4 linked regions of the Callithrix jacchus genome follow. The protein of the gene in region 4 purifies or fractionates together with the protein of the main gene of each other region. This does not show direct contact. Links are inferred from orthologs where the notes say so. Each region holds a gene or a part of one and is shown on either strand. Other genes may lie near its edges.

Evidence for each region.
Region 1: the proteins of GLMN (region 4) and CUL7 purify together in Homo sapiens (affinity purification with mass spectrometry; 4 studies listed by BioGRID and IntAct, counting the BioPlex papers as one, with this or other methods). This does not show direct contact. The link is inferred for Callithrix jacchus from reciprocal best matches to the Homo sapiens genes GLMN and CUL7.
Region 2: the proteins of GLMN (region 4) and FKBP5 purify together in Homo sapiens (affinity purification with mass spectrometry; 3 studies listed by BioGRID and IntAct, with this or other methods). This does not show direct contact. The link is inferred for Callithrix jacchus from reciprocal best matches to the Homo sapiens genes GLMN and FKBP5.
Region 3: the proteins of GLMN (region 4) and CUL2 purify together in Homo sapiens (co-immunoprecipitation; 4 studies listed by BioGRID and IntAct, counting the BioPlex papers as one, with this or other methods). This does not show direct contact. The link is inferred for Callithrix jacchus from reciprocal best matches to the Homo sapiens genes GLMN and CUL2.

What each region holds. Positions count from the first base shown.
Region 1 is NC_133505.1:51,515,780-51,523,083, forward strand, and holds the end of CUL7 (cullin-7), read right to left. Parts: intron 6,258-7,304; coding exon 6,097-6,257; intron 5,919-6,096; coding exon 5,702-5,918; intron 5,599-5,701; coding exon 5,337-5,598; intron 4,663-5,336; coding exon 4,517-4,662; intron 4,386-4,516; coding exon 4,259-4,385; intron 4,178-4,258; coding exon 3,960-4,177; intron 3,705-3,959; coding exon 3,381-3,704; 3' UTR 3,310-3,380; downstream 1-3,309. UniProt on the Homo sapiens protein: Core component of the 3M and Cul7-RING(FBXW8) complexes, which mediate the ubiquitination and subsequent proteasomal degradation of target proteins. Core component of the 3M complex, a complex required to regulate microtubule dynamics and genome integrity.
Region 2 is NC_133505.1:44,018,852-44,027,823, forward strand, and holds the start of FKBP5 (peptidyl-prolyl cis-trans isomerase FKBP5), read right to left. Parts: upstream 6,095-8,972; 5' UTR 5,825-6,094; intron 1-5,824. UniProt on the Homo sapiens protein: Immunophilin protein with PPIase and co-chaperone activities. Component of unligated steroid receptors heterocomplexes through interaction with heat-shock protein 90 (HSP90).
Region 3 is NC_133508.1:34,638,267-34,645,566, reverse strand, and holds the end of CUL2 (cullin-2), read left to right. Parts: intron 1-417; coding exon 418-519; intron 520-2,501; coding exon 2,502-2,618; intron 2,619-4,038; coding exon 4,039-4,170; 3' UTR 4,171-4,615; downstream 4,616-7,300.
Region 4 is NC_133508.1:130,016,692-130,025,037, forward strand, and holds part of GLMN (glomulin), read right to left. Parts: intron 3,426-8,346; exon of another isoform or gene 2,998-3,425; intron 2,276-2,997; coding exon 2,153-2,275; intron 688-2,152; coding exon 579-687; intron 1-578.

The sequences.
Region 1 (7,304 bases), on a different chromosome or scaffold from region 4:
GATATGGTGGTACATGCCTGTAATCCCAGCTATTTGGGAGGCTAAGGCAGGAGAATTGCTTCAACCTGGGAGGTGGAGGTTGTGGTGAGCCAAGATCGTCCCATTGCGCTCCATCTCAAAAAAAAAAAAACAAAAAACGGGTGGATGTGGTGGCTCATGCCTGTAATCCCAGCACTTTGGGAAGCTAAGGCAGGTGGATTACCTGCGGTCAGGAGTTTTAGACCAGGCTGACCAATATGGTGAAACCCCATCTCTACTAAAAATACAAAAATTAGCTGGGTGTGGTGGTGGGCACCTGTAATCCCAACTACTTGGGAGGCTGAGGTTGTAGTGAGTCGAGGTTGTGCCACTGCACTCCAACCTGAGAGATAGAGTGAGACCGTGTAAGAAAAAAAAAAAGGCTGAGCACGGTGGCTCACGCCTGTAATCCCAGCACTTTGGGAGGTCTAGGCGAGTGGATCACAAGGTCAGGAGTTCAAGACCAGCCTGGCCAAGATGTTGAAACCCCGTCTCTACTAAAAATGCAAAAATTAGCTGGGCGTGGTGGCACGTGCCTGTAATCCCAGCTACTCAGGAGGCTGAGACGAGAATTGCTTGAACCTGGAAGGTGGAGGTTGCAGTGAGCCGAGATCACATCATTGCACTCCAGCCTGGGTGACAGAGTGAGACTCTGTCTCCAAAAAAAAAAAAGAATTGGAGACTTTCCATCGCAGATGAGCAGGAAGGTACCCCATGGGAGACTGGCAAGGTGACTGAGTAGGATGACCAGGGGTTGATGAGGGTGAGAGGGGAGACCCCCCCCATCTCCTTCAATTTCACCTTCTCCCTCCCACCTTCCAGATGGGAAGGAGGGTGAAGAAGGAAAAAAAATAAAATACCAAAGAGCTGGGAAAATGACTCCCTTTTTAGTTCCCAGCATCTCTACTATCTGTTAACCTTGAAAGAGCTGCAAATAAATGCTATCTCTGCCAGCTGGAGCCTGGCACTGGTTCATGCCCCCATGTCTCCACGGACGAGGCTCCATCCTGGAAACACCTCTGCCAACAGCTTGTTGCTTTTGTCTTGTCTCTGTAAGCCCCCTCCCCTCCTGGTCCCCACTCTTGCTGCATATGAATTAGCAAATCAATGAAGCCAAAAGATTGTAAGGTTGGATGTCCAGCAAATGGGCAATGACATAGTTCGGCCTCAGTTTCCCCTTCAGCGTTGTAAGCCTATAAAAGTGGGGAGAAGCTGCAGCTTGGGGAGCTTGGTGAATGAGGCTGTAGCCCCCTGCAACTCCCTGCTGAATAAAAAGCCACTTACTTCCTCAGTTTGGTGTTCGAGAGGTTTGTTCCCTGCCACTCCTGCTTCAAGGGCAGTGAGTTCAAGGCATAGCCTACGGCTCAACCCAGGGAGGAGGCCTCAAGGCAGAAGCAGCACAGTAAGTCCTATTATCTGTCCCTATGTGCACTGCATGCTGGGCTGGCTACCGGACCCCACAGCAGGAAGTGGTTTGAGTTTCTGCTGAAGAAGGATACACTCATAAAGAGCAGGAAAGTCTAGACAAGGGAAAAAAACTCTGGCACTTGAGAGCAAGCTCAAGAATATTGGGCCTGGGCCAATAAAAGGCTATAATCTCTGGTTCAAAGGTGGAGAGGCACCCAAGTGACAAACTGCAGCAACCCCAATGTGTCTGGCCTACTGTGGCCCCCACCTGCTGCTGCCGCCTGTCTGGATTCTGCTCCAAAGGGCAGCCATGGCTCAGCAGGCCGGCCCCTGCTTTGAGAGCCACCAACACCACCACGGGACCAATACTACAAAGCAAGCACGAGCCGTCTGCTGGGGCCCCTCTGTATCATGGCCTCATTCTGAGCAGCCTGATTCTCCCACAAGCCATGGCCTTTCTCCCCCACTAGACTCCTAATCCCAGGCCTGGTGGCACTCAGTTCTCTCTGTCTGGCTTCTGTGGCCTCCTTTATCACCTGACTCTTCCTCTTCCCTCTCCCCGCTCCTTCCAAGACTTTTTCTGTCACCTCTGGGCTATGAGCTTTGAGATGCCTGGGTCATCCCTCCTTTTCTCCTCCCCAGTGGCCCTGCCAAAACAGAGCTGTACCCCTGGCACAGGGTCCCCTGGCCTGACCTGAGCTGCCCTGCTTCAGTGTGGATGGTGCCAAGAGAGCCAATCATAGTAGCAAAAGCAAACCTCCCCAACAGCAGCAGAGTAGAGGCTTACCTATGGGGCTAGTTAGGGGTAGGAGTTTCTGCTTTTTCTAAAACAGAGACACAGGGTCTGTTGCCTAGGCAGGAGTACAGTGGCTATTCACAGGCACAATCCCATTACTGATCAATCAGCCTGCTCTCTTTCTGACCTGGGCCAGTTCACTCCTTCTTAGGCAACCTGGTGATCCCTTGCCCTTGGGAGGTCACCATATTGATGCTGAACTTGGTGCAGATACCTGAACAGCAGAGCACACTGCAGCCCAGAAATCCTGGTCTCAAGCCCAGAAATCCTGGCCTCCTGCCTCAGCCTCTCCAGTAGCTGGGACTAAAGGTTCATATTGCTGTGCCTGCAGGGGTAGGAGTTTCTTTCTCTTTCTTTCCCCTTCCTCCCTTCCTTTCCTTCCTTCCCTTTCTTTCTTTCTCTCTCTTTTTCTCTCTTTCTTTTTTCTTCCACTCTCTCATTTTGAGAATCAAGGGGTAAGAGTTTGATGACAGTGTGTGCAGCTCTGCAGGGATAGAGAAAGGGTGGAGGCAGAGGAATGGAAGAGAGGAGCGAAATGGTGGAGCTTTGTGGAAGTAAGAAATGTTGGTCACTAACCTCACCTTCATCGTTTCAGTCTTACTTAGGGAAGGCACCAAGGAAGCACTTTCACTGCTGGGAGTGGTGGCCAAAATGGGGACTCACTGGCAAAGCCTTCATTTGCCACGTCAAATGCTTCCATGCCTGTTACTTGTCAGAGTCCCACAGTGACTGGGCCAATTCCATAAATGAGGAAAATGAAGCCCTGCTCGATAATCTGTCCAAGTAACAAACCATCTAGTGAGTGGCCAAGGTGGGCTTGGGCCTCCAGCCTACCAGATGAAAGCACTTCTGACCACACACCCTCTGAGACAGGGCTCAGCGCCATCATCCTGCCTGAGTCCCCTCAATCCCTCTGCTAAGTTGCACCTGACTCCCTCTGCCTTTCTCCCAGTCTACCGTCCTCACCCTAACAAGACCCTTGGCATATCATGTGACAGCCTCAGTGCCAAGGGCTTTTTCCCCACCAGCCGTGAAAGCTCCCCCACCTCCCTGCTCAAATCTTGTAGCAGTTGCCAAACACACACAGGTCATACCAAACTCTTGCATTTTATTTCTGTAAAAACTCCAGCTCTACCATCCCCTGATCCCAAGTCCAGGGCTACCGGAAAGTAGAGAAGCTCTGGGTGCCAGTGCTGGAGGCATACGGCACACCCCGAGAGCGAATCTGCAGGGTATGGAAGGTGAGGGGTGGGTTGGGGCCTGAGGAGCCTGGGTTCAGGGATTCAGTCTGAGGCTCCATGACAGTCACAGGGACTGCATAGGACAGCACCTGGGGCCGGTCATCATGGCGTCTCAGCGTGCCCTTGCCCAGGAGGTGCAGGATGCAGGAGAGGACATCGGTGCTGCTGCAGGCAGACCCTTTACCAAGGCTGCTGACCAAACCCCTGGGAGGACATGGGCCCTTCTGCCAAGCTTCTAGCACCTGGTGTGGGGAAGGAAGGGAGCAGTGGTAGGTTAGAGGCAGCTGACCTCTCCTTGAGCTCCCACTCACTCTAATCACAAGCAGCTAGGACAGGATTCCCCAAGGATACCAGGTGCACCCCGACCTCACTCCTCACACTCCTACAGGTTACTCAGTGAACCAGGTGCTTCACCACATGTGGACCCACCTTGTCCTGGAGACTGCTCCCCTAACCCCAGCAAAGATCTGTCACCCACTATGCCCACCCCCACCTACCAGACAGACAAGCTGGTCAATGTGCAGTCCCTCGTCCCCATGGGCCTTGAGGATTCGGACAATCAGGCAGTTCAGAAGGTTCCGTCTCTTCTCCAAGTTCCGGCCCTCTTCATCATCAGCTTGCAGGTATGTCTGAGGTGGGATGAGCCGCACAGTGTCCCATCTCGACCTGGCTTCCTTGCTGCCATCTCGAATCTTGAGGACCCCTGAAATAAACGCTGATCACTCACTCAGTGGAGAGCCCATGAGGAGCCCGGCCCTGCCTCAGAGTGGAGGCCCCTCTGGCCCTAAGTGCATACCTCCTGGTATATCCTTTTGCTCGTGAAGGTCCAAAGGGCCTCTTGAAGAGGTGAGGGGCCCAATCGCCTGATTGAGTGTGTCTGCGGAGAGGCCTGAGAGTGCTAGCAGACTCTCCACAGAGATCGACTTCAGAGAACAACAGATGGGAGACATTCAGGGCCTCCCCAAGGAGTGGAGAGGAGAGGACGGAGGGTTTTGGGAAGAGAGGCGAGGGACTAAGTGGGAGATGGGAGAGAGGTACAACGGGGCTGGGTCACCTTCAGATCATTGAGATACAGCAGTAGCCACATCTGCACGGTGGACACTTGCAGGGTCTGGTTCCCAAACTGCAGCTCAGCCCAGCCCAGCCACGTCCACTGCAGTCGCCTCTGTGAGCCTCGCTCTAGGGCAGGATGGCTCTGACCTGGAGACATACCAGGAATGGGGAGGGAGACAAAGAGCAGGGGAAAGGAGGGAGTTGGTATTGGAGGGAAGGTGCATACTGGTCAAGCTCTGCTGATCTCTGCAGGGCATATGACCCCAGCATTTATGGACACTGGGGCTCCCAGTCTGAGCTTCCAGATCTCAGCTTTCTCTGGGCCTGCCTCCATGGTGAACCTCAGGTATCTGGGAGCTATCCTATGCCTAGCCTGGTACCAGGCAGGCTCATCAGTGTCTTTGAGGGTTGCCCTACGGGTTTTTTTTTTTGAGACAGAGTCTTGCTCTGTCACCAGGCTGGAGTGCAGTGGTGCGATTTTGGCTCACTGCAACTTCCACCTCCTGGGTTCAAGTGATTCTCCTGTCTCAGCCTCCCGAGTAGCTGGGATTACAGGCGTGCATTACCAAGCCCAACTAATTTTTGTATTTTTAGTAGAGGTGCGGTTTCACCGTGTTGCCCAGACTGGTCTTGAATTCCTGACCTCAAGTGATCTGCCTTCCTTGGCCTCCCAAAATGCTAGGATTACAGGCATGAGCCACTGTGCCCAGCCAAAGACCATCTCTTTTCACATCAAGCCTCCCAACATCAGGGTCTGCCCTCAACCCCAGGTCCTTTCCTAGCAGCCCATCCTCTCTAGTCCCCTCGGCCTGGCTGCTCACTCTTGTTGTAGAAGTTGGAGTATCTGTTCAAAGTGCCACTCAGGTAGGAGGGTAGGCAGGTTCTGGGGTTCAGTGTGTGGCAGATCGAGGCGACAGGCCAGCAGTGTCGGGACAGGACAAGCACAGAAACTTCTGGCATTGCCCCTTCATAGTATAGGTCCTCATTCTCCTCCTCTTCCTCTGCTGCATCCACCGCTGCTGCTGCCCCAGCTCCCTCTTCCTTCTCACTCTTGTGCTCCTTGCCACTGGCCTCATGGTCCACCTGAAGGAACACAGGGTTCCCAGATGCCATGGCCTCCTCCAGTCTGCTCCATGCTTCTCTTCCCCCTACCCTCTCATTTGCTCATCCCTTCCAAGGCACTCACCTGTATTTTCTTCTCTGTATCCTCCAGCTTTAGGAGTTCCTGATCCAGCCTCTGGAGCTGGTAGACATGGAACTGGCGCTGCAGCTCCTTAGAGGTGCTCAGGTTCTGCAACATCTGCTGGGGGAGGCGGTTGGGGAAGCAGGGACCGATCTGCTCCAGCACGGCCCCCTCCAGCCAGCTCGAGAACACGCCCAGGAGACGGTCCGCCATGTAGTGCCTGCAGCACATGCAGCCCGGGCCAAGCCTCAGTGTGGGCAGCAGTGTGGCACAGCCTCCCGCTCTGAGACTCCAGCCTGCCTCTATCCCAGACTCCCAGGCCTGTGAGCTGGCTCTGCCACCGTCATCCTGTCTCCCGCTCCCTAGGTCCAGCTCCCACTCCCTAGGTCCACACTCACTGGTAATAATGCTCAAAGGTAGTGGCTATCTCCAAGCCGGAGAAAATCAGGACAGCTTCCAGGCATTGCTGCAGCTGTGCCAGCCTCTCCATTTCCTGGGCTCCACCGATCCGGCTGCCCTGGATCTGCTGGTCAATGTGCCGGGCGAACTGCTCACTCACCTGAGCAATGGCAGAGCACAGGAAAGCCATGAACGAGCCAGCAGAGCAGGTGAGTGGGAGGAAGGGGAAGCATCTAGAAAGTAGATATGAATGTGGGCTGCTTCCTAAGGTGGTCAGTGCTTTTATGCAACTATTTTATAAAATCATTAACCACTGTATAAATTAGCAATATTAACAATTACAGAAAGTGTCTTTTCGCATTGTGCCTAAAAATCAAACTAATAATAATCATTCAAAATGAGAAAATAAGGCCAGGTGTGGTTCATGCCTGTAATCCCAGCACTTTGGGAGGCCGAGACAGGCAGATGGCTTGAGCCCAGGAGTTGGAGACCAGCCTGGGCAATATGGCAAAACTCCGTCTCTACTAAAAATACAAAAAAAATTAGCTGGGCGTGGTGGCACATGCCTGTGGTCCCAGCTACCCAGGAGGCTGAGAGGATCACCTGAGCTGAGGAGGTTGAGGCTGCAGTGAGCTGTGACTGGAATACTACAAGCCTGGAAGAAAGTAAGACCCTGTCAAGAAAGAAGGAAAGAAAGAGAAAAAAAAAGAGAGAAAGAGAGAAACAGAAAAAAAAAGAGAGGGAGGGGAAAGAAAGAGAGGGAGGGAGGGAGGGAGGGAGGAAGCGGGGAAGAAGGAGAGTGAGAGAGGGAGGGAGGGAAGAAGAGGAAGGAAGGAAGGGAGGGAGAGGGAGGGAGGGAGGGTGGGAACGAGGAGGTAAGTTACATGCACAAAGATGGTCCTGCTGCAGTGTTCCTGATGAACTAGGACTGGAGGCTACACAAGGAGCCAGGGCTTCATGCTCCTGCTGCTCTGTACCCTGCTTTCCAGGGTGCTTCTTGCATTTTAGCTCATCATTTGTTTTTTGCTTTTTTTTTTCTTTTTGAGATGGAGTCTCGCTCTGTTGCCCAGGCTGGAGTGCAGTGATGCAATCTCTTCTCACTGAAACCTCCACCTCCTGGGTTCAAGCAATTTTCCTGCCTCAACCTCCCAAATAGCTGGGACTACAGGTGTGTGCTACTATGCCCAGCTAATTTTTGTATTTTTAA
Region 2 (8,972 bases), on a different chromosome or scaffold from region 4:
TCTATAGGTGTGTACTACCATGGCCGCCACCATGCCCACCTAGTGTTTATATTTTTGATAGAGACAGGTTTTCACCATGTTGTCCAGGCTGGTCTTGAACTCCTGATTTCAGGTGATCCACTCTCCTAGGCCTCCCAAAGTGCTGGAATTACAGACTGTCTGGCATTCCATTAAATTTTAGTGAGCTAATCATTTATTCATTAATTCATCAGATAGATATTAATTGACGCCAGTTGCTCAAAGCTATATGAGCCGGCAAATACTTCTTTTTTTTTTTTTTGAGACAGAGTTTCACTCTTGTTACCCAGGCTGGAGTGCAATGGCGCGATCTCGGCTCACCGCAACCTCCGCCTCCTGGGTTCAGGCAATTCTCCTCCCTCAGCCTCCTGAGTAGCTGGGACTACAGGCACGTGCCACCATGCCCAGCTAATTTTTTTTAATTTTTAGTAGAGACGGGGTTTCACCATGTTGACCAGGATGGTCTCAATCTCTTGACCTGGTGATCCACCAGCCTCGGCCTCCCAAAGTGCTGGGATTACAGGCATGAGCCACCGCGCCCAGGGAGTTGGCAAATACTTCTAACAGTGAGTGAGTGCAGGGATTAACAGCACAGCATCTTCAGCCAAACTGGCTGTGAGGAAATCCCACTCTACCACTTACTGGGCATGTCGCCGTAGGTCAATTAGTTACTTCACCTCTCTGTGTACCAGTTCTCTCATTTAGAAGATGGAGATGATAATGATAGCACCTACCAAGGTTGTTATGAGGCTTACACAAGCTTATATATATACAAGCATATATATCTATATGCAAAGGAGTCAGAACAAAGCTAGGTCAAGGAGGAAAAGGCATCCAGGCGGCCGGGCGCTGTGGCTCATGCCTATAATCCTAGCACTTTGGGAGGCCGAGGCGGGTGGATCATGAGGTCAAGAGATCGGGACAATCCTGGTCAACATAGTGAAACCCTGTCTCTACTAAAAATACAAAAATTATCTGGGCATGGTGGTGCACACTTGTAGTCCCAGATACTCGGGAGGCTGAGGCAGGAGAATTGCCTGAACCCAGGAGGCGGAGGTTGCGGTGAGCCGAGATAGCACCATTGCACTCCAGCCTGGGTAACACGAGTGAAATTTCATCTCAAAAAAAAAAAAAAAGAAAAGAAAAGGCATCCAAGCAGCAGAAACGGCATGTACAAAGGCTCAGAGGCGTACACCAGTACAGCAAGCTGAGGGAACCAGGAGGAATTCCATGAGGCTGGAACTTAATGTGCAGCTGGGAACAGGTTGAGAGTTGCATGCTGGGCAATGTGGGGAGACCTCATCTCTAAAAACATTTTTAAAAATAAGCCAGGTGTGGTGGTGCACCCCTGTAGTATGAGGTACTCGAAGGCCAAGGTGGGAGAATCACTTAAGTCCAGGAGTTCAAGGTTGCAGTGAGCTATGACTGTGCCATTGCACTCCAGTCTGGGCAATAGAAACCCTGACTCTCAAATAAAAACAAAATAGGGAAGACAACAGGAATATCAGTTTGATGGCATGCCTGTATTTTCTGGGGAGGGGTGGGCAGAGGTGGTGGGCTTGGTGTGCAGCATGTCATGTTTGAGTTCCACTCTTGGAAGTTCTTCTGCCTGTGTGATGTTCCCCAGTCTCTTACACCAGACACACACTCTTAGAAGATAGATACTATGTCTGGCTGGTCACGGTGGGTCACGCCTGTAATCCCAGCACTTTGGGAGTCCCAGGCAAGCGGATCACGAGGTCAGGAGATTGAGACCAGCCTGGTCAACATGGTGAAACCCCGTCTCTACTAAAAAATACAAAAATTGGCAGGGCATGGTGGCTTACGCCTGTAATCCGAGCACTTTGGGAGGCCGAGGCTGGTGGATCACGAGGTCAAGAGATCGAGACCATCCTGGTCAACATGGTGAAACCCCGTTTCTACTAAAAATACAAAAAAATTAGCTGGGCATGGTGGCGTGTGCCTGTAGTCCCAGCTACTCAGGAGGCTGAGGCAGGAGAATTGCTTGAACCTGGGAGGCAGAGGTTGCGGTGAGCTGAAATCACGCCGCTGCACTCCAGCCTGGCGCCTGGTGACAGAGCGAGACTCTGTCTCAAAAAAAAAAAAAAAAAAAGAAGAAGAAGACAAAGATAGTTACTATGTCTTACGATTTCTGTGCCACCTCATCCTTCCTACCTGCCCCAACCCATCCCAGGCACATGCTCTGTGCTAAGGGACTACAGCTAAATTGGGTTTAATGGAATCCAAGCTTCTTCCCTGCCTAACTCTTGAGATCTGATAATTGGGTCGCAAACATTACACCTCTACATGGCTGGTCTCTGGATTTCTGCTGTGCTGCTCTGGAGGAGTCTGAGAGAAGCCACCCTTCTGTTGAAAGGGGCTAGGCTACCTGGGACCCTGCTGCCAGCCCAAAAGCTGCCACATCGACCTTAGGACTGGGCCCTCTTCCAATCCTTCCCACCTCCCCACATGGGAGAGCATGGGCCTGGGGCAACTGTAGCAATAGGAAGAATGGATGGACTGGAGGGAGGAGTGTAGCAGTGAGAGCAAAGACCAGCCTCATGTTTACTGGTCTCACCAAACCTCAGCTCTTTGGAGACCTTTGCTCCTAGAAGTGATGGAATCCTTACCCCACCCCTCTGCCCCCCTTCCTGCCAGGCACCCAAGCAAGGTGCTATTCCAGAGTAAACCCACAGCTCTTGAGCTTTCTTTCATTCCCATTGGGCCATCAGTAGGAAAAACTAACAGAAAAAACTCCCGTTGAATGTAAAGTCAGAGGCAGCTGGGAACCAGCAACTGAGCCTGCACTTCCCCTGCAGAGTCCTCAGCTGCAGGCGTATGATCTGAGGGTGGAGAGGAGCCCCCCGTCACGAGGAAGCATGTGAGTGTGTGTGCCTGTGTGCCATGCATTCATGTCTCTGTGTGTGCTCTGTGTGCACGTGTGCTCATGTGCATGTATGCATCTGTGTGTATGCCCTCATGTGTCCACATCTGTGTTGCCCATTACGCATGTCTGTGTGTGCCCTGTGTGTATGTGAGATGAATGTGCACTCATGGCAATGCCCACCCAGGGGAGGGGCAGGGGAGCTGTGGGAGCAGTGGGGTACATCTTTGCAAACTTGCTGCTGTGGGCAGGTAGGTAGGAGTGGGTTTGGATATGGTTGTGGGAGCAGGAGCCACGTGTCTGTTGTGAGGGAGGATTTCTGCCGGGGTGTTTGTGAATGATGACTGGATGACTGAGGTGGGGCAGCCATGCTTCTGGCTGAGGCCCCGCCTTCTCATCCTTCCTGGGGTCACCTCCCAGGGCAGCCACCTTGGCCAGAAGTGCCCAGGTTTGATGCTCTGGCCTGGGCTGGCATGGCCAGCAGAAAGCACAATGTCTTCAAGGCCCAGTGGAAGGACGACATCAGTCTCTGAAAGCTAAGGGGGCATGTGGAAGTGTAGGGTGGGACTAAGAAATCCCTTCAATTCCTCCAACAGTGGCTGACAAAACAGACCCCATATCCAAGGAAAGCTGTGCCCTAGGATGGGAGGATTGCAAAATGGAGGAGGCTCTGTCTGTTCTGGTAGTGGGGACCTGGGTGACACCACTCTCCAGATGCCCAAGGACTGCGGGGCCTCTGGGGACAGCATTTGAATTAGGTCATAAATGATTAGGAGAATGTCAGAGGAAGGAAGTAGGAGGGGAAAGGGGGCATTCTAGGCGGCAGAAACAACCCGAGCAAAGGCACAGAGGCGGGAAAATGGAGGGTGTGCTCCAGAAGCTGCCTCCTGCATGTTCATGGAATAAAGCTGAGGCCCAGAGAGAGGAAGTGTTTCTAAGACCTAGCAGTAGCCTTGAGGTCCTCTCACTCCAGGTCAGTGCTTTTTGTTACCCTAGAAAGCTTACAGGAGAGCACACCAGGGAGTCAGCTGTTGGTTTGGTTTCCTTTGCTTTCTTATCCCCAGCTAAGTCTCAATCAGGGATCGATCCTTGTTCTTGGCCTTCCTCTGCCAGCAGCTAGCTGTGTGATTCTAATAAGTCACTTCCCCTCTCTGGGCCCCTCATCTCCAATATGAAGGAGGTATAAGGCCTTGCTTCTACCTAGAAATGCCAACTCTGACTCTCTAAGCTAAAATGTGGCTTATTCTCCTATGCCCAGCACCCGGCAGAATCTATAGCACTACACGGGTGCTCAAATAACTGTTTTTGAATGAAGAAAGGAAGGAAAGAATGAAAAGCATCATGACTCTTCCTTAGCACTCTGCTTTGACAGCCTCAGCCTCTCCCCGCCCCAGGCAGGACAAAGGATGCAGGAGTCCCAGACCTTGAAAAGGAAGTCAAGGAAAACAAATAACTTAACTACATGGGGGCCCTAAACTCTGCCTCTGGGTGGATGCCCCTGAGAGAACCTTTCCTTGCAGCCTTGGCCTTGCTGAAACTGTGCAGTGGTCAGGGCCTGGAGGAGGGGCAGGGACCTCTAGCAGACCCAGAGGCAGCTAGGCCTGAGCCAAGACTGGCCCTCCCCTTGCTCCCTCCCCACTCACAGCTTCTCTGCTTCAAGAAGTGTCCCAAGCCTTCTGGTCCCAACCCTGAGGGGTTGGGCTGGCTCTGAAACCTCCTGTTTCCCAGGCCAATGATACCTTCATTTTTCCAGTTGCAATAACCCCTTTTTTTGAGGCCCCCTCCTTTCATGTTAAGAACTTTATTGCTCATTTCCCTCTTCCGTGACAGCAGCTGTATTTCTTTAACTTTGTGAAACACACACACGATCTATGGTGGTAGAAGTCGGAATCAGTTGCCTCTGGGGCGGAGACTGACTGGAAGGGGACACAAAGGCATTTGGAGGTAGTGAAAATGTCTGAAATCTTGATCTAGGTGATGGTTACATAGGCATATATATTTGTCAAAATTCATCAAGCTGTACACTTAAGATTTATGCATTTTACTGTATGTGGAATGTATGTTGATTATACCTCATAAAGTACTGCTAGCATCTAAAAGATACACATATGGAAAAGTACATGAAACATACATGTTCAGTTTAATGAATTATTTAGCCAGCGCCTGTGAAACACCACCCACGATACCTGGTGCCCCTGTGTAATCCACAGAGCTTGGATATAACCAAGCAGTTTCCCAGGGACCCCAGCACCCACAGACAGGGCACCTCAACTCCAGACACCATGTGCCTCTCGCTTCCCGGATTCATGGAAACATAGAGGCCAAGGATGGGGCAGAGCCCATGGGCTTTGGAACCTAGAATTTCCCATCAGTTCAACACCAGGCTTGACCACGATTCCCATTCTAGTGAATTGAAGGAACAGAAAACACACCATTTCCCCTTTCTGGGAGGGGAGTTTCCGTACTGGCCTCCTCCAGTGAGTCTTGGCTGGGGGGTGGGGGTTGTCCCTAGTTAAAGTCAAGGAGAACTGTGCCTTCCCTGCATCCCTGCTAAAAATAACTCCAGGCAGTGTTGCTGCCACTGAGCAGCAGGAAGGACAGAGTCGTGTTTTGCTTTAAACCTAGAAGCAGCTCGGCAATTGGGGGCTAGGGTGGGGTGGGAGAGCAGGCTAGGGATCTGAGAACCCTGGCTGTGCTCAGTGCACCCCCCCCCACCCCCAGCTGCAGCTGGTCTTCCGGGGGTGCCTGGGAGGGGTGTATGTGTTAGCGCATGCACGCGCATGTGTGGTGACAGGGCCTCCCAGTAGCAGAGCAGGAAACCAGGGAAGGCTGGGAATGTGTGGGGAGGGGTCTCTGTCCTGCTAACTGGAGCATGCAGCTGGAGGGCCAGGCGTCACGTCACGTACTCCATGGGGTCCCTACCTCCTCTGAGAAGCGTTCTGTTCCTGCAGCCCACGCCAGGCTCCCTGGGGTTGGAGAGGCTAGTCTTCTGCAGCGTGGCCGCCTGCCCCTCAGGGCTCCTTGCACACACGGGGCTGGAGATGGTTGCTTGGTAGTCCTTGTCTCTGTCTGGCTTCTGCTCTGCCCAAAGATATTGGGAGGTCCTCAGGGGTGGGTGCAGTCCGGCAGCGAGGAATTTCCCTGGAAACGGGAAGTACAAGATGTGTCAATATGGGATCCTAGCAGAGGAGTGAGAGGCTGAGTAAAGGGAAGGGAAGAGGCCCTCCTGGCTGCTCAGTCTTGCTCTCTCCTCCCACCACTCCCCTGCCTGTCTTATGCATCAGAGGCCTCCAATTGTTGGTCTCTCTTTCTGTATGCTTGTCTTGGGTCCCCGGCTCCTTGGAGCCAGGATCATCCTGCAGTTGGCCTCCATTTTCCAAGGTAACAATAAAGAAGAATCACCATTCATTTCACAGGTACCCCGTTCCAGGCACTGTGCTGACTCTGATGTGGATGTTCTCATTTAATCCTCCCAGCAAACCTGTGATAGTGGAATGATTACAATTCCTCCCTATTTATAAAGGAGGAAACTGAGGCTTAAAGTGGTGAAGTGCTAGTCTAGGATCTCACTGGCAGTACCTGACAAAGACAAGGCTTGAAGTCATGATATAGAACACAGAGCATGTCCAAGATGACTGTCCAGGAGACAATAAGAATTTTAGGGCCAGGCATGCTGGCTCCTTCCTGTAATCCCAGCACTTTGGGAGGCCGAGGCGGGTGGATCACCTGAGGTCAGGAGTTCGAGACCAGCATAGCCAACATGTTGAAACCCTGTCTCTACTAAAAATACAAAAATTAGCCAGGTGTGGTGGCAGGCACCTGTACTCTCAGCTACTTGGGAGGCTGAGGCAGGAAAATTGCTTGAACCCAGAAGGTGGAGGTTGCAGTGAGCCGAAATCATGCCACTGTACTCTAGCCTGGGCAACAGAGCAAGACTCTATCAAAAACAGAAAAAAAAAAAAAAAAGAATTTTAGAAATTTGATATCTGGGCCAGGCACGGTGGCTCATGCCTGTAATCCCAGCACTTTGGGAGGCTGAGGTGGGCAGATTCCCCTGAGGTCAGGAGTTGGAGACCAGCTTGACTAACATGGCAAAACCCTGTCCCTACTAAAAATACAAAAATTAGCTGGGCGTGGTGGTAGGTGCCTGTAATCCCAACTACTCGGGAGGCTGTGACAGGAGAATCGCTTAAACCCAGGAGGCGTAGGAGGAAGCAGTGAGCTGAGATCGCACCATTGCACTCCGGCCTCGGTGACAGAGCGAGACTTGGTCTCAAAAAAAAAGTAAAAAGAAATTTGACCATCCTAGATAATTTAGGACACATGGTTGCTGAACTTGATGATTTTGTTTAAAAAAACACACGTATATATACATACAAACACCAAAATAACCCCAAAATAGTGGCTTTACATTCAAAATTTGTACTCCCAGTTGTGATTTTGACCAAGAAACTAACCATCCTGACAAGTCTCAATTTCCATCTCTAAAAAATGGGTACAATAATCCTTGCCGAGGATTACTGGAGAGTAGTGTATTTGAACCCAGCCTTTTTTCTAAACCTAGAAAACACAAAGCTCCTTCATGCCTTGAGGCCTTTGCATGTGCTGTGCTGTTTCCTGTGCCTGAAACCCTCAGCTTCCAGATGTTCACGTGACTGGTTTATTCTCGTCCTCCAGGTCTTAGCTCAAACATAACCTTCCTCCGAGCAGCCTTCCCTGACTACCCAACAGACCCCCATCACACTCAATTGCATCCCTGTTTCATTTTCTTCTTTGTACATATCGTGATCTGAAATTTCCTTACTTATTTTTTCTGTTTGCTTTTTTATGGCCTGTTCCCCTCCCAACTGCCAAGGATATAAATTTCTTGAAAGCCAGAGGCCAGGCGTGGTGGCTCACACCTGTAATCCCAGTACTTTGAAAGGCTGAGGCAGGTGAATCATTTGAGGTCAGGGTTCAAGACCAGCTTGGCCAACATGGTGAAACCCTGTCTCTACTAAAAATTCAAAAAACATTAGCCGGGCATGGTGGTGGGCGCCTATAATCCCAGATACTGGGAGGCTGAGGCAGGAGAATCACTTGAACCCAGGAGTCGGAGGTTGCAGTGAGCTGAGATAGCGCCACTGCATTCTAGCCTGAGCAACTGAGCGAAACTCCGTCTCAAAAAAAAAAAAAGAAAGAAAGCTGGAACCTCTGTGGGGTTGAATGATCCATTCACGGTGCTCAGAGCAGTGCCTGGCAAACATCAGAGCTTGCTAAACATTTATGAATGAATGAATGAATGAGCTTTGAAAATAGCATTATATTTAAGTGACTGACTCTCACGGGCCTTGCTGAGAGCAGTGAATGTGGGCTAATGGGGGATCAGAGGAGAGTGCTTTGGGCCTGGCTCTGGCCCAGGCTCAGCCCTGAAGCTCCTGGGCTGCAGGGAACCATGAGGCTGCCTGGGCTTCCGGCTGCTCCAGGATAAAGGTCAACTCTTGCTGGAACACGAGGTTCTGCACCATCTGGGCTTGCCTGCCTCTGGCTTCATCTCCCCAGGCTCTCCAACCTGCACTCCATGTCCAGCCAGACCAAACAACTCCCAGTGCCCACCAGAGAACACCGGGCTGCTTCACGCCTGTGTGCTTTTAAACACACTGTTCCTTCTACCTGGAACACCCCGCACCCTTGCTCTGCCTGGCCGGTTCCTCTCTCCCTGAACCTTCTGCTCTGGCCACACCCAGTCCCCAATTTCCCCAGACACTGTAATGACCTGTTTTTGTGCATTTTCGCAAGTAACCCAGGGACTCAGACTTCCCAAGTAGCCCATATAGGGCAGTGACCAGGTTGTGTGTCCCCAGTTTGTAGTGCAATACTTGGCACACACAGTAGGTGCTTAATAAATGCTGAGGCACAGTTTTTGGACTTTGGTTCCCAGGGCATTAACTCAATTCCGGGGACACAGAGTAGGTGCTCCATAAGTGCCCACTGGATTAACAAGGCTGAGCAATCTGATACTGGCAGAAGCTTGGGGCAAGATGAGGCATAGGGGCAGGAGTAAATGGAAGACACTTCCTGGGAAACAAGA
Region 3 (7,300 bases), about 95 Mb from region 4:
TTTGTTAACTGCAGCGTTTGTAAAACAATTTGGTTGTTTGGTTTTTCAAAATGGGGTGATGGAAAAGTTATGAACTTCAGTGTTTAATAAAAATTAAAATGTCAAACTGTAGGCAATGAGCTTGACTCTTACTTTATCAAAAGGTAGTATATATAACACTATGATCAGAAAATAGCTTATTCCTAAATATAAACTGCTTAAGATTCTGGCAGATTCAAAAGTAGAAAATAATTGGGTTTTTCCTGTTTGTTTGAACAAGAGAATTTTCTCTTAAATTTAATCTATAATTTATAATATGAAAGTTGTGAGAGTGGAGGCTTTTTTGCTTGATCATTAATGTAGCCGTGTTGCTTGCAGCAAGCTGTTATTTAATGATTTGGGTTTTTATAAAAATAAATCTTTTATGTTTAAATGTAGGAAGATATTGATGCAGAATCTTCATTTTCATTAAATATGAACTTCAGCAGTAAAAGAACAAAATTTAAAATTACTACATCAATGCAGAAAGACACACCACAAGTAAGTGCTTTTAATGTCACGTTGTTTTGGGGGACAAACATTTAAGCATTGGACTTCGCAAGTGTAATTTACATTGAGATCGTGCAGAACTTCGCATAGCAGAGTTAATAATGGGACAGCTTTTCTGGTTTGTTGTTTGCATTTACTAACTTTACAATCAAACAGAAATCTCTGCTTATAGTTTAGCTTTTTCTAAGGAAAAAGGTACGGTTTTGTTTTATTTGCTCTTTTTTTTTTTTCTTTAACAGCAGAGTCTTGCTCTTTTGCCCAGGCTGGAGTGCAATGGCATGATCTCAGCTCACTGCAACCTCCACCTCCCTGATTTAAGCAATTCTCCTGCCTCAGCCTCCTGAGTAGCTGGGATTACAGGTGCACACCACTATGCCTGGCTAATTTTTTTGTATTTCTAGTAGAGATGGGGTTTCACTGTGTTGGTCAGGCTGGAGTATTTGCTCTTAAACCATTGGACTGTGTAACTTTGCTTTGCATTTCTCCAAAAATTCCCATATTGAGAAGTAATAAAATCTCATATTTTTTATTTGTAAAATAAAGTTCTACAGCTCTTTTCTTTCAAAGTAAACTTGTCAGTAGAAAATGCTTCTTAAACTTACATGTGCAAATGAGCCACAAGGGCGTCTTGTAAAAATGCAGATTGTGGACCAGTTGCAGAGGCTCATGCCTATAATTCCAACACTTTGGGAGGCTGAGGTGGGTGGATTACCTGAGGTTGAGAGTTCGAGACCAGCCTGACCAACATGGAGAAACACTATCTCTACTAATAATACAAAAATTAGCTGGGCGTGGTGATGCATGTCTGTAATCCCAGCTACTTGGGAGGCTGAGGCAGGAGAATCGCTTGAACTCGGGAGATGGAGGTTGCGGTTGAGCCAAGATCGTGCCATTGCACTCCAGCCTGGGCAACAAGAGCGAAACTCCGTCTCAAAAAAAAATGCAGATTGTGATCTACTGGGTGTGGAATGAGGTCTTGACTCCTGACAGGCCAATGTGAGTTGGGGACTTCTGCTCTTCGTTCTTTTGACTCAGCAGTGATTGTTGCTTTGGTCTGCGATAGACTGTTTCTCTATCACTTAGGCTTCCTGATTGCCAACCGTGTGCAGTCGTGGGGCTGGTGCAGGATGTGAAGCTAATATAAGGCGTTAGACTCTCTCCACAAACTTAATTCCCCATGGTGGAGACAAATATTAATTTCCATTTACTTTGAAACCTAAAATGGTCAAGATTCCATTTTCCTCTAGGCTAATAAATAATAATTTGAAGTATATAGTGGTATTTTGTCTTTGAAAAGCTGTGAGGAGATCCTGTTAATGTGGCATGGCCTGCTTCTGTGCCCTGCTTCTCCTGTGTTTCTTGAGCTCCGTGGCTCCATAGAGATAGGCCCCATCTCCTGGCTTCTCTGCTTGAGCCAAATAAAATGGCACTTCTCAGCTCTTCCTTTGAAGCCTGATCCGGTATGCATTTGGAGCTAATTACTACAGTTGACACAACTCCATCTAAAAGCATCGTGATACAGATTCTGTAATCACTGAAAAGAAAATGATCTTGCAGATTACTACTGTGTCCTCCTTTATCGCCTCTTTTCCTTAACAGTATAGTTTATAATAATGTAAATTTTTTCTAATGACTTTCAGCTTTAACCCTAGAAACTATAGATGTTTTCTCAGTGGTTATGTGATATTAACACAACATAACTGTATAATTTGCTCACTATTGATTACAAATTTATCATTGTGGCACATGCCTGTAATCCCAGCTGCCCAGGAGGCTGAGGCATAAGAATCACTTGAATCCGGGAGGTGGAAGTTGCTGTGAGCCAAGATCGCGTCACTGCACTCCAGCCTGGACGACAGAGGGAGACCCTGCCTCAAAAAAAAAAAAATTTATTTGCACTCACTGATAAAATGAATTTAAAACACATTCAGTGACTTGACATCTTGTTCGCTCTTTTTTCTTCTGTAAAACAGGAAATGGAGCAGACTAGAAGTGCTGTCGATGAGGACCGGAAAATGTATCTCCAAGCTGCTATAGTTCGTATCATGAAAGCACGAAAAGTGCTTCGGCACAATGCCCTTATTCAAGAGGTAAAAGGAGGGCAGTCCTCAGGGCTTCTTAGGGTAGAGGGCATTGTCGGTGTACAGAGTCAGTCTCTTTCTTCTTAAAGAGGATACAGAAATAAACTGATCCTCAAGTAGCATAAAGAAATGTTTCATACTTAGAATCGTACTTGCTTCCAGTTTCAATATTAAATTCAGATTTGCAGGCTAGGCACAGTGGCTTGTGCCTGTAATCCTTTGTTGTTGTTGTTGTTGTTGTTGTTGTTGTTGTTGTTGTTGTTGTTGAGACAGAGCCTTGCTCTGTCGCCCAGGATGGAGTACAGTGGCATGATCTTGGCTCACTGCAACCTCTGCCTCCTGGATTCAAGTGATTCTCCTGCCTCAGCCTCCCGAGTAGCTTGGAATACAGGCATGCGTCTGGCTAATTTTCGTATTTTTATATTTTTGCATTTTCAGTAGAGATGGGGTTTTACCGTGGTGGCCAGGCTGCTCTTGAACTCCTGATATCGGGTGATCCACCCACTTCAGCCTCCCAAAGTGTGGGATTACAGGCGTGAGCCACCATGCCTGGTGAACACCTGTAATCTGAATGCCTTGTTAGGCCAAGACAGGAGGATCGGTTGAGTCCAGGAGTTTTCGACCAGCCTGGGCAACGTAGAGAGACCCCATCTCACCAAAAAATATTTTAAGAATTAGCCAGCTGTGTTGGCATACACCTGAAGTTCCAGCTACTTGGGAGGCTGAGGTGGGAGGATTGCTTGAGCCCAAGGAATTGAGCCTGGGTGACACAGTGAGATGCTATCTTGAATAATAATAAATTCATATTTGCTTTGGCTTTATTTTAGAGCTCTAAAACTTGCCAGTTCATTGAGTCTTCTGTTCAGTTATTGAAGGAAGTTGACACATCAGATACTCATTCATTCCATAAATATCTGAGCCTACCATATGATAGATGGCCAGGCTGGTCACTGGGTTGTAGTACAGAGCAGCTGAAGATGTGGCAGGCCCTTTTAGAGTTTACAGTTTAATGGGGAAGAATTATGTTATTGAAATAGTACACAAATAAATATAAAATTACATTAGCATGCCCTGAAGGAAAGGTACACAGTACCTTGAGAATGTATTTAAATGTCCTGACCTAGGGGATGCTGGGGAAAACTTTCTGGAGAAAGTGGTGTTTGAACTAAGAGCTGAGAGTTGAGTGACAGTTAAATAGAAGCTTGGGGTTGTGTGTGAGTATTTAATGTTTATTGTTTCACTTAATTATGTATCATTATTAGATTTTGCTGTATCCATTTTCCATATTTTAGTTCCTATTTTCATACTTCATTCTGCCTGTTTGCTGAAATTTCAGTGCATTTGAGGCACTTTAAACGGATTGGTTAAAAGTCATTACTTACAGCTGAAGAACGGGCAGTAGTTTGACTTCCACGTCTCTCTTCCACAGGTGATTAGCCAGTCAAGAGCTAGGTTTAATCCCAGTATCAGCATGATTAAGAAGTGTATTGAAGTTCTGATAGACAAACAGTACATCGAACGCAGCCAGGCGTCGGCAGATGAATACAGCTACGTCGCGTGATGTCGCTCTCCTCCAGCGTGGTGTGAGAAGATCATTGCCATCACCATTTGGTGTGTTCCTGTGGGAAAAGCAGGCCTGTGCCTCCATAATTTGGTCATTTGGCAGCCCCTGTTTTCTGCTGTTTACAACATCACCAGTGCCACGTCATGAGCGTCAAAGAAAATGCCTAGAGATATTTCAAGCTCATGTCATGATGACATTTCTTAAAACTTTCTTAAAAGAATGAGTGAAGTATTGCTGGAATGTGGAAAGTCGGTTGGGTACCATGCTTTTTCTCCCCTTCACGTTTGCAGTTGATGTGTTTTTTTTTTTTTTTAATGTATCTTAAAGGACATAAAATTTAAAAACTTAAATATTGTAATATGACAGATAACCTAATAATTGTATCTACATTAAAATGACAAACATGATACTGCTGCTTGTCAAATAAAAAAAAATAAAGAAATAGAATGCCTTTTTTATGTGAATGGAGTATCAGGTTGACCACAAAATATATAGAGTCAAAGCAGCTAATGGGCATCTTTAGTTGCATTTTTATCTGAATGGTTTAGTTTACTTGTACTTCTATTTAAATCCTACATGAAAAATGTCTAGATTATTGTTCTTGAATGCACTGGCCTGCATTCAGCATAAAGAATGCTTTATTTTTATGGATTCGATATATTGGAGCTAAGCATTTTGAATCTTGAAGATGTAATTTCATCGGCAGTTTCTGGTGGTGTGCTACCCTGCAGACAACGCAGAGTGTGAGCAGGATTCATGGTGACCTCAGTTCTGGCACAGAGAGAGCTTTTCATTCAGAAGTTGTCTTTCTTCTGTTGCATAATGCATTAATTCTAGCATAGACTAACATCCTAGCTCTATGGCTTTCCTGAGTCTTAGGAGATCCTGTGATACCAATGTATTCCTTCCATATGCCTTCCCTACCTGTTACCCTTACAACCCTCCTCAGACAGTTTATATACTAGAGTCACTCCCATCAGTCACAGATATGCTTAGCAATGCATAACCTAAATATCTTTTTTTAAAATAATTTTACATTGCACCCAGTGCCACTTATATATAAATCTCATTATTTTGTTTATTACATATATGTATCAACAGCAGTGTCAGAATACTGCAATCTATTATATTTATTGTCTGTCCACACCATCACCACCACCACACCCCTCTTCCCTCAACACACAAACAAATTTTTTTGTTTTTTTTAAAGTAAGAGACAGGATTTTGCCATGTTTCCCAGGCTAGTTTAGAACTCCTGGCCTCAAGCAATCCTGTCTCTGTCTCCCAAAGTGCTGGGATTACAAGCATGAGCCACTGTGTCCGTTGAACATTCAGTTTTTAAAATACGGAATATTTAAAAGCAAATCACATAAATTGTTTCACTTTTAATACTTCAGTTTTTATCTTGAACAAATAAGGCCTTTAAAAAATCCACAGTGACATTATTACTCCTAACAAAAACAATAATTAACTTAGTATTATCTAATATGTGGTTCATATTTAAATTTCTTATCATTTCGAAATGGATTTTACAATTGGTTTATTCAATTGCATTTTTTTCTAACTCATGTCTCTTAAGTGTTTTAAAAATCTACTGAACTTACAATGACTTCTATACTGTATTTCTCATTTTACCTTTCTTCCAAAGGAGGAAATAATGGCAAACCATATAATATTGTACATTCGCCGTCAAAAAGCAAACCCTTGTTTTGATAACTTGTTGATTGATAAAAGTTTTCCAAATTGATTCTTTTTTTCTTAAATATTTATAAATGTTAAATTAAGTTTTATCCTGGTATCTAATCGTCAAGAAAGTACATTGAAAAATGGACAGAATGCTTGTGCGGAGGTCAAAAGAGATGACTTACAGGAGTTTTCTTCACATCCTCTCTCTATTCAGCTGTAAGGAAACAACTCACACTAGGAAGAAAAGGGACCAGATCTGTTCAACCAAGGCACCATTCAAAAAGAGCAATGATTGGAATTCATTGTAGCACACACCTTCCCCTGCAGAGAGTGCGGGGAAGAGTTGCAGTCTTGTCACGTTAGGTGAGGAGATTGGAGTCACTGCAGAAGCTGTGGCATACAGCCCAGAGCCCTTACCTGGTACCTGGCCGTCCCAATGTGCAATAACTAGTGCGTGTGGGCAAAACAGCTCAGAACTACAAAAAGGGAAAAGGACCAAGGAGAGGAGGGTTTTTTATGCTTCACTGCAGAAAATGCATGTGAGCAAAACTCTCAGAAGTTTTTTAGAAGCCATTAATACTAAGGTAGTGATGCATTGTATAGCCAGCCAGCATGAGACCATGTCAACATGCCAATCCCTTCCCTTTGAAAGCAAATATTTTAATTGCTATTGAAGGTGCTGACTTACTCTAAGGTTTAGCCCAATATTTTATGACCATTTGCTTTAATATAAACAAACATTCTGGGGGTTGTGTTTGTTTTGTTGTTTTTAAGACAGGGTCTCGCTCTGTCACCCAGGCTGGAGTGCAGCGGTGCAATCACGGTGCACTGCAGCCTCAACCTGCTGGTCTCAAGTGATCCTCCCACCTCAGCCTCCCAAGCAGCTGGGACCACAGGCACATGCTACCATACTCAGTGAATCTTTCTATTTTTTGGAGAGAGACGGCTTTGCCATGTTGCCCAGGCTGGTCTCAAACTCCTGAGCTCAAGCAATTCGTCTGCTGTGGCCTCCCAAAGTGCTGGGATTACAGGTGTGAGCCACCATGCCAGGCTTTATCTTCTTTATAACTTACTATTTTTATAGGATTTTGTAACCTTTATATGCTACCATGCTATCCCATGTCTGTTCACCTTGAGTGTAAATGATGACAGGTGCTTCCACCTCTGTTACTGTGTTTAATCTTCAGGTAATCCTATTTGAGAGGCAATGCTGCTCTTTTTCACAGGTGAGGAAACTAGATGAGGAGACTTCTGGGAGTTACTGTTGTAACTGCAGACCCTGAATTTAATTGCCAGTGAAATCCATGGATATTACAAGTATGGCCTCTCTATGTATATAGCCTCTAAAATAAGTAGAAACGACTATTTCATACATAAAGAATAGTGGTTTTTTTTGACTTCTCAGAATAACGTTTCTAGTTAATGTATGATAAACACTTCA
Region 4 (8,346 bases):
AGATTGTGAGATTCACATATTTCCTGAAAAATAACCTCTTCCCATGGATACTCTCTGTCTTGGTTGCCAAGACCTATTACTTACCAATATTATTACTATACTCAGCCATGGAGTCTTCTCCTACATCTTCTAATTTCATTCTTCAGCATTACCTTTGCTATGTCCAATCCAACCTCCCAATGCAGAGGCTGAGCAATGCCCTGCCTGATACTCTTCTGGACTACCATAATGCTATCAGATTTAGTACTGTAGACACCACAGAGGTATCCTTTAAATATGTTTAAAGGGAAAATTCTAGATTTAAGCAGCAGATAGGAAGGTTAGGCAAAAAGGTGTAGGTTTCAATGTAGCACACAAAAAATACAATGACATTCAACAGAGTATTTATAGGGTACTCACTCCGGCCAGATACTGTAATTTTTCTATGAGCAGCAGGATTCACATTGGCCTTGCTAATGTGAATTAGCAAGAGTACTAATTAGCTGTAAACTTTACTTTGGTGTAGTATTGATATTTTCGTGTAACCATCAAGGCACTTAGAGATACAAGAAGTACTCTGATATCAAAATTCTCATTACCTGTCTGTAATGGCTGAAGCAAAAGAAGAATACTTTGGGATATCTGCTTTCCAGAGGGCTCTTCAATCAGTTCAAGCAAACCCAACAATAATTCCTTTGGACTGCATAACTATAAAAATATTCACAATTGAACCTGTTTAATACAAGTTGTATTTAAAGCCACATTATTACTATTTTTAAGAAGGCACATATTGGCAAAATGTTATACAATTATTTTTTTGCTTAACAGTAAAATTATTTATACAATTGTTTAAAAATATGCACTAGCAAAACACAGAATCTATGATGGTCAAAACTATAAAAGTAAAAAGAAATAAGAAGTCAACGGATCTTTAAGCTCCTGTTTCCTTTGAGCTTCACCTGTCTACTCTGGAAGTTGCCTTAATAGAGTCCCAGGGACTCCACCAGGTGGTACCTTTCAATCCCATGCTGTAAGTCCTTTGAGCTTCACCTGTCTACTCTGGAAGTTGCCTTAATAGAGTCCCAGGGACTCCACCACGTGGTACCTTTCAATCCCATGCTGTAAGTCCTTTGAGCTTCACCTATCTACTCTGGAGGTTGCCTTAATAGATTCCCAGGGACTCCACCAGGTGGTACCTTTCAAACCCATGCTGTAAGTCCTTGGAGTTTCACCTGTCTACTCTGGAGGTTGCCTTAATTGATTCCCAGGGACTCCACCAGGTGGTACCTTTCAATCCCATGCTGTAAGTCCTTTGAGTTTCACCTGTATACTCTGGAAGTTGCCTTAATAGATTCCCAGGGACTCCACCAGGCGGGACCTCCCAAACCCATGCTGTAAGCACAGACTAGTCCAGAATCTCTTTTGTATTTCTTGAACAGGTAAAACTCTGCATTGCTTTCTAACTGGCCATATCTTAACATCTCATTTACCTGGTTTTTTAAAAGCTCCCAGCTCCCGCAGTCAATAATTCATACAGATGGAGCTCTTTCCAAATATATATTTGGGTATATTTGCACTGATCACTAAGCAGTTTCTTATAATATCCTTTTTCTCAGAATTAATCTTTCTTAGCCATCGATATTGACTTTAAACTCTACTAGACTTTTACCAAGGGTCTCTAAGGTTGTTAGTCACAACTGCTCTGTGTACTACCCCCTATTCCTACTTCCATTTTAATCATTTGCATTTTAGGCTTTCCATTTTCTTTTAGGGAACATACCACAAAGGCAAGAGGACTGAGATTTTATTCTAGATCCAATGTTGCCGAAAGATAAATGTAGCCTTGAACTACCTCTAAACCTTGTGTTCCACATCTATACAATAAGGCTACTTGTTAAAATACAGCTTCCCAGGTCTCTCCCTGGAGATGCTGAATCAATGGGTCTGATATGAGGTTAATATGAGGTTAGACAATTTTTATATCCAGAAAATTTGGGAAATCTTGAAATGGAATTGCCTATCCAATCAATAAGACAGAGTCTTTTCTCCAATGAGTTCCTTTCTGCATGTACTTCCATAAACCAAAAGCTTTTTACCAAACAATAAACATTAAAGGGAATTATACAACATTGCTGTGTGTTATGACAAAGAGAACCTGGTTTTGTTAACCTACCTTTACCAATATATCAAGGATCAAAAAATAAACTTTTCTTTTATCATCATCCTCTCTTTCTTTCCACAAAAGGCATCGAACGACAGGCCCAACAAGATTCCAGCCCATATTCTTGATGATGACCTGTAAAAACATTTTCAAAATAGAGCAAACACTGCCATCTATAGGACTCTAACAGTGTGCTTTCCTATCTTGGAAGAGCTCAGAATAGTCTCTTAAATAGGAAGATGAGACAAGTGAAGCCTATGACATTTCACAGACTTTCCAGGGTTGACTGCTAACAGATATCAACATTTTAAAATAGTGTTTAATATGTTCACTGAAGAAAGGCAAAAGGGTCTTTACTTTTTATCAGGCAAGTTAGTGTTTCCCAAAATTTAAATAGTTCCTCTATTTCCAATAAGAGAGTTAATCTGCTTAAGGCAAATACTTAACATCCACATAGAATTCTGCTCCCCTTATTCATAAAGAAATCCAGCCAATGCTCGTATACCTTTTAAAGTTCCTTGGAGTCTCTAATCAATGTAATTTATATAAAAAGAAGGGATGAAACTTCATTAATTTTCTCTCCTCCATACAAGTGGCTTCTACGTTCAAAGATATTTCAGAATGCCTACTACACAAGTAAAAGTTTATCTTTATAATTAATAATTTATATTCATTATCAAAATCACTGATTTTCAAAAGTATCAACAATGTATTCCACTTCTCTGGGCTGCTTTGTACTTTTACTCATCAGTATTTACCAAGCAAACAATATCATTTTCTAGGTGTTAGAAAAAAAAGTGAGGAACGCACTGGATAAGATCACTATCTTCCTAGAATTTACAGTCTAAAGAAAAAACCTTTGAAAGAGAGAGATCCAAGATGGCCGATCACTAGCAGCTCAGGCTTGTAGCTCCCAGTGAAAGCACAGAGAACGGGAGGATGCCACACTTTCAGATGAATTTTTGTTGCTCACGGACCAGGAGATTCCCAGTGGAGGAGCCCCACGGGTCACCAGTGCGACTCTTGTGGCCGGCGCGGCGGTTCTCAGTGCAGAGTAAACAGGACTGAGTCCCCTTTTGGTCGACGTTTGGGGCTCTGGGAAGGCAGAGTTGCCCATTCAGCTGATTAAAGAAGGGATTCTGGAGGGAAGCCAGACTGGAGACTCACGGGCAGAAAAGCACCAAGAATCTTGATGCCGCTGTTTTAGCTGGCACAGTGGGTTGCTCAGATTTCAGCGCTGGGAATTAACAAGTTGGACGTCCACTCAGAAACCTAATTTGAAAGTCTGTAATTACAAAGACGACAGGTGGATAAATTTACGACAGGAAGAAACCAGCATAAAAAGGTTGAGAATACTCAAAATCAGAATGCCTCTTCCTCTACAGAGGATCACAGTTCCTCATCAACAAGGGAACAAGGCCTGATGGAGAATGAGTGCATTCCAATAACAGAATGAGGCTTCAGAAGGTGGATAATAAGAAACTTCTGTAAGTTAAAAGAACATGTTCTAGCCCAATGTAAAGAAACTAAGAACCTTGAAAAAAGGTTTGACGAAATCTTAACAAGAATAGACAATTTAGAGAGGAATATAAGTGAATTAATGGAACTGAGGAATACAACACAAGAACTACGCGAAGTATGCACAGGTTTTAACATTCTAATTGATCAAGCAGAAGAAAGGATATCAGAGGTCGAAGACCAACTTAATGAAATGAAACGAGAAGACAAGATTAGAGAAGAAAAAGTAAAAAGGAATGAGCAAAGTCTCCAAGAAATATGGGACTATGTGAAAAGACCTAATTTACGTTTGATAGGTGTACCTGAATGTGAGGAAGAGAATGAATCCAGGTTGGAAAATGTTCTTCAGGATATTGTTCGGGAGGACTTTCCTAGCCTAGTGAGGTGGGACAGTGCTTGGCTCAGGGTGGTGCAGAGACCACCACAGGGATGTTCCTCGGGTGGAGCAACCCCAGGACACACGGTTGTTGGATTCGCCAGGGTTGAAATGAGGGAGAGTGTTCTGGGGGCGGCTGGTGAGGGGGGTCAGGTTGCCCATAAAGGGAAGCCTATCAGACTTACAGCAGATCTCTCAGCAGAAACTCTACAAACTAGAAGAGAGTGGGGGTCAATATTCAATATCCTCAAAGAAAAGAATTTTCAACCCAGAATCTCATATCCAGTCAAACTAAGCTTTATAAATGAAGGAAAAATAAAATTTTTCAAGAACAAGCAAGCACTCAGAGATTTCATCACCACCAGGCCTGCTTTACAAGAGCTTCTGAAAGAAGCACTACACACAGAAAGGAACAACCAGTATCAATCATCCCAAAAACTTACCAAAAGGTAAACAGTATCTCCATAATGAAGAATCTATGTCAACTAATGGACAAAATAGCCAGCTAGCATTAAATGACAATTATTAAACTCACAAATATCAAAATTAATCCTAAATTTAAATGGATTAAACGCCCCAATCAAGACACAGACCCGCAAACTGAATAAAAAGTCAAAACACATCAGCACTCTGTATCCAGATCCATCTCATAAGCAAGGACACACAAAGACTCAAAACAAAATGTTGGAGGAAGACTCACCAATCAAATGGAGAGAAAAAAAAATAACAGGATTTGTAACTTTCATTGCTGACAAAATAGACTTTAATGGTAACAAAGACTAAAAGAAACAAAGAAGGACATTACATAATGGTAAAAGGATCAATGCAACAATAGGAGTCAATGATCATAAATATATATGCACCCAATATAGGAGCACCCAGATACATAAGACAACTTTTCAATGACTTATAAAGAGACTTGGACTCCTGCACAATAATAGCGGGAGATTTTGACACCACATTGTTAATATTCGACGGATCAACGAGATAGGAAATTAACAGGGACATTTATGATTTGAACTCACACCTGGAACAAGTAAACTCAGTGAATATTTATAGAATTCTTCACCCCAGGTCCACAGAACATACATTTTTTTTAGTATCACATTACACCTATTTTGAAAGTGACCACATAAATGGAAGCAAATCACTCTTCAGCATTTGCATAGCATTTCACAGATTTAAATGAAATATTGGTTGGCTGTTTGTTATTTTCTTTCCTTATTCCTTCCTGTCTCCGCTGTTAAAAAAAAAAAAAAGAAAAGAAAAAAAGAATTTACATTCTAAAGTCCTTCTCTAAAAGCACGGTGGCTGGCTGGGCAAAGTGGCTCACGCCTCTAATCCTGGTAATTTGGGAAGCTGAGGCAGGAGGATCACTGGAGCCCATGAATTCGAGACCAGCCTGGGCAACCCAGTGAGACCCTATCTCTATTTTTTAAAGTTAAATAAAATGTTTTTAAGCATGGTGGCTCATTCCTGTAATCCTAACACTTTGGGAGGCTGAGGTGGGTGGATCACTTGACCTCAGGAGTTTGAGACCAGCCTGGACATGGCCAAACCCTATGTCTACAAAATACAAAAATCAGCGGAGTGTGGTGGCACATGCTTGTAGTCCGTGCTACTTGTAGGGCTAACTGGGAGGATGGCTTGAGCCTGGGAAGCAGAGGTGGCAGTTAGTCATGATCACACTGCTGCAAACCAGCCTAGGTGACAGAGACAGACCCTATCTCAAAAAAATATATAAATAAAGAAAAAGCAGATCTAACCCATCTGACAAGGAAATAATAACCAGAATAAAAAAGAAGCTCAAACAAGACTAAAGAAAAAAAATAATCTGATCAAAAAATTGGCAAAAGATTTGAATAGGTATTTCCCAAAAGAAGACATACAAATGGCAAACAAGCTTATGAAAAGGTGTGCATCACTGACCATCAGAGGAATGCAATTCAAAACTGCAATGAGGGTTGGGTGTGGTGGCTCACGTCTGTAATCCCAGGACTTTGGAAGGCCACGGCGGGTGGATGATGAGGTCAGAAGTTCAAGACCAGCCTGCCCAACATGGTGAAACCCCGTCTCTATTAAAAATACAAAAATTAGCCAGGCATGATGGCACGTGCCTGTAATCCCAGCTACTCAGGAGGCTAAGATAGGAGAACCACTTGAACCCGGGAGGTAGAAGTTGCCATGAGCCAAGATCACACCACCGAACTCCAGCCTGGGCCACAGAGTGAGACTCTGTCTCAAAACAAACAAAACAAAACAAAAACAAAAACTACAATGGGATATTATTTCACCCCAGTTAAAATGGCTTATATCCAAACGACAGGCAATAACAAATGCTGGCAAGGATGTGGAGAAAAGGAAACCCTCATACATTGTTGGTGGGAATGTAAATAAGTATAACCATTATAGAGAGTTTAGCAGTTCCTCAAAAAAACAAAAATAGAGCTACCGTATGACCCAGCAATCCCACTGCTGGGATACACTCAAAAGAAAGGAAATTAGTATATTGAAGAGATATCTGCACTCCCATGTTCATTGCAGCACTGTCCACAATACCTCAGATTTGGAAGCAACCTAAGTGTCCATCAACAGATGAATGGATAAAGAAAATGTGGTACATATAAACAGTGGAGTACTATTTGACCATAAAAAAAGAATGACATCCTGTCATTTGCAATAACATGAATGAAACTATAGACCATGATGTTAAGTGAAATAAGTCAGGCACAGAAAAACATTGAATGCTCTCACTTATTTGTGGGATCTGAAAATCAGAACAACTGAACTCATGGACATGGAGAGTAGAAGGATGGTTACCAGAGGCTGGGAATAGTGGTGGGAGGCAGAGGAGATGGCTAATGGGTACCAAAAAAAAAATAGTTACAAGTAATGAATAAGATCTACTATTTGATAGTACAACAGGGTGACTATAGTCAATAACTAATTGTACATTTAAAAATAACTAAGTATAATTGGATTGTTTGTAACACAAAGGATTAATGCTTGAGGGGATAGATATCCCATTCTCCATGATATTATTATTACACATCGCATGTCTATATCAAAACATCTCACGTACCCATCAATATAAATGCCTATGATGTACTCATTAGAATTTTTTTTTTAAGCTAATCTAGCAAGAAGACAAAATGATACCTATAATACCGCATCTTGACTCCAGTCTTTTTTTTATTTTTTTTGAGACGGAGTTTCACTCTTGTTATCCAGACTGGAGTGCAATGGCGTGATCTCAGCTCACCGCAACCTCCGCCTCCTGGGATCAGGCAATTCTCCTGCCTCAGCCTCCTGAGTAGCTGGGATTACAGGCACGCACCACCATGCCCAGCTAATTTTTGTATTTTTAGTAGAGACGGGGTTTCACCTTGTTGACCAGGATGGTCTCGATCTCTTGACCTCGTGATCCACCTGCCTTGGCCTCCCAAAGCGCTGGGATTATAGGCATGAGCCACCGCGTCCGGCGACTCCAGTCTTATAAGACAATAGTGTATAGGATATTGTAGTCTCCCCACTTATCTGTAGGGGGTACATTCCAAGACCCCCAGTGGATGCCTGAAACCATGAATACTACCAAATGCTATATATAAATACTATACATGCATATCTGTGACAAAGTTTGACTTATAAATTAAGAGATTAACAGTAACTACAACAATTATAATAATATACTGTAACAAAAGGTATGTGAATGGTCTCTTGCAAAGCAGTTAATAGTAAATCTTTTTATCACTTTTCTTTAATTCACTTTTACAGTTGATGATAATAGTAAATCTTGATCATCTTGATAGTGTCATCTGGCAAAAAAATTAAATTGTAGTCAGCTTTTTGTTGTCGTTGTTATTGAGCTGAGGTCTCACTCTGTCTCCCAGGCTGGAGTGCAGTGTTGCGATCTTGGCTAACTGCAGCCTCTGCCTCCCAGGTTCAAGCAATTCTCCCATCTCATCTCCTGAGTAGCTGGGGTTACAGGGATGTGCCATCACGCCCAGCTAACTGTTGCATTTTTTGGTAGAGACGGGATTTCACCATGTTGGCTAAGCTGGTATAGAACTCCTGACCTCAGGTGATCCACCCTCCTTGGTCTCCCAAAGTGCTGGGATTATAGGTGTGAACCGCTGTGCCTGACCTGTAGTTAGTTTTGAACATTGTCCTATCAATATCTAAACCTCTGCATTTAGCTGACCAGACATTAAAGAAGTGATTCTCAAATTAAGACTAAGCCTCACATTATTTAAATCTATCCTGTTAGCTATTCAAAAGCATGCTAAAGATAAAACACTGAGGCATGCAATGT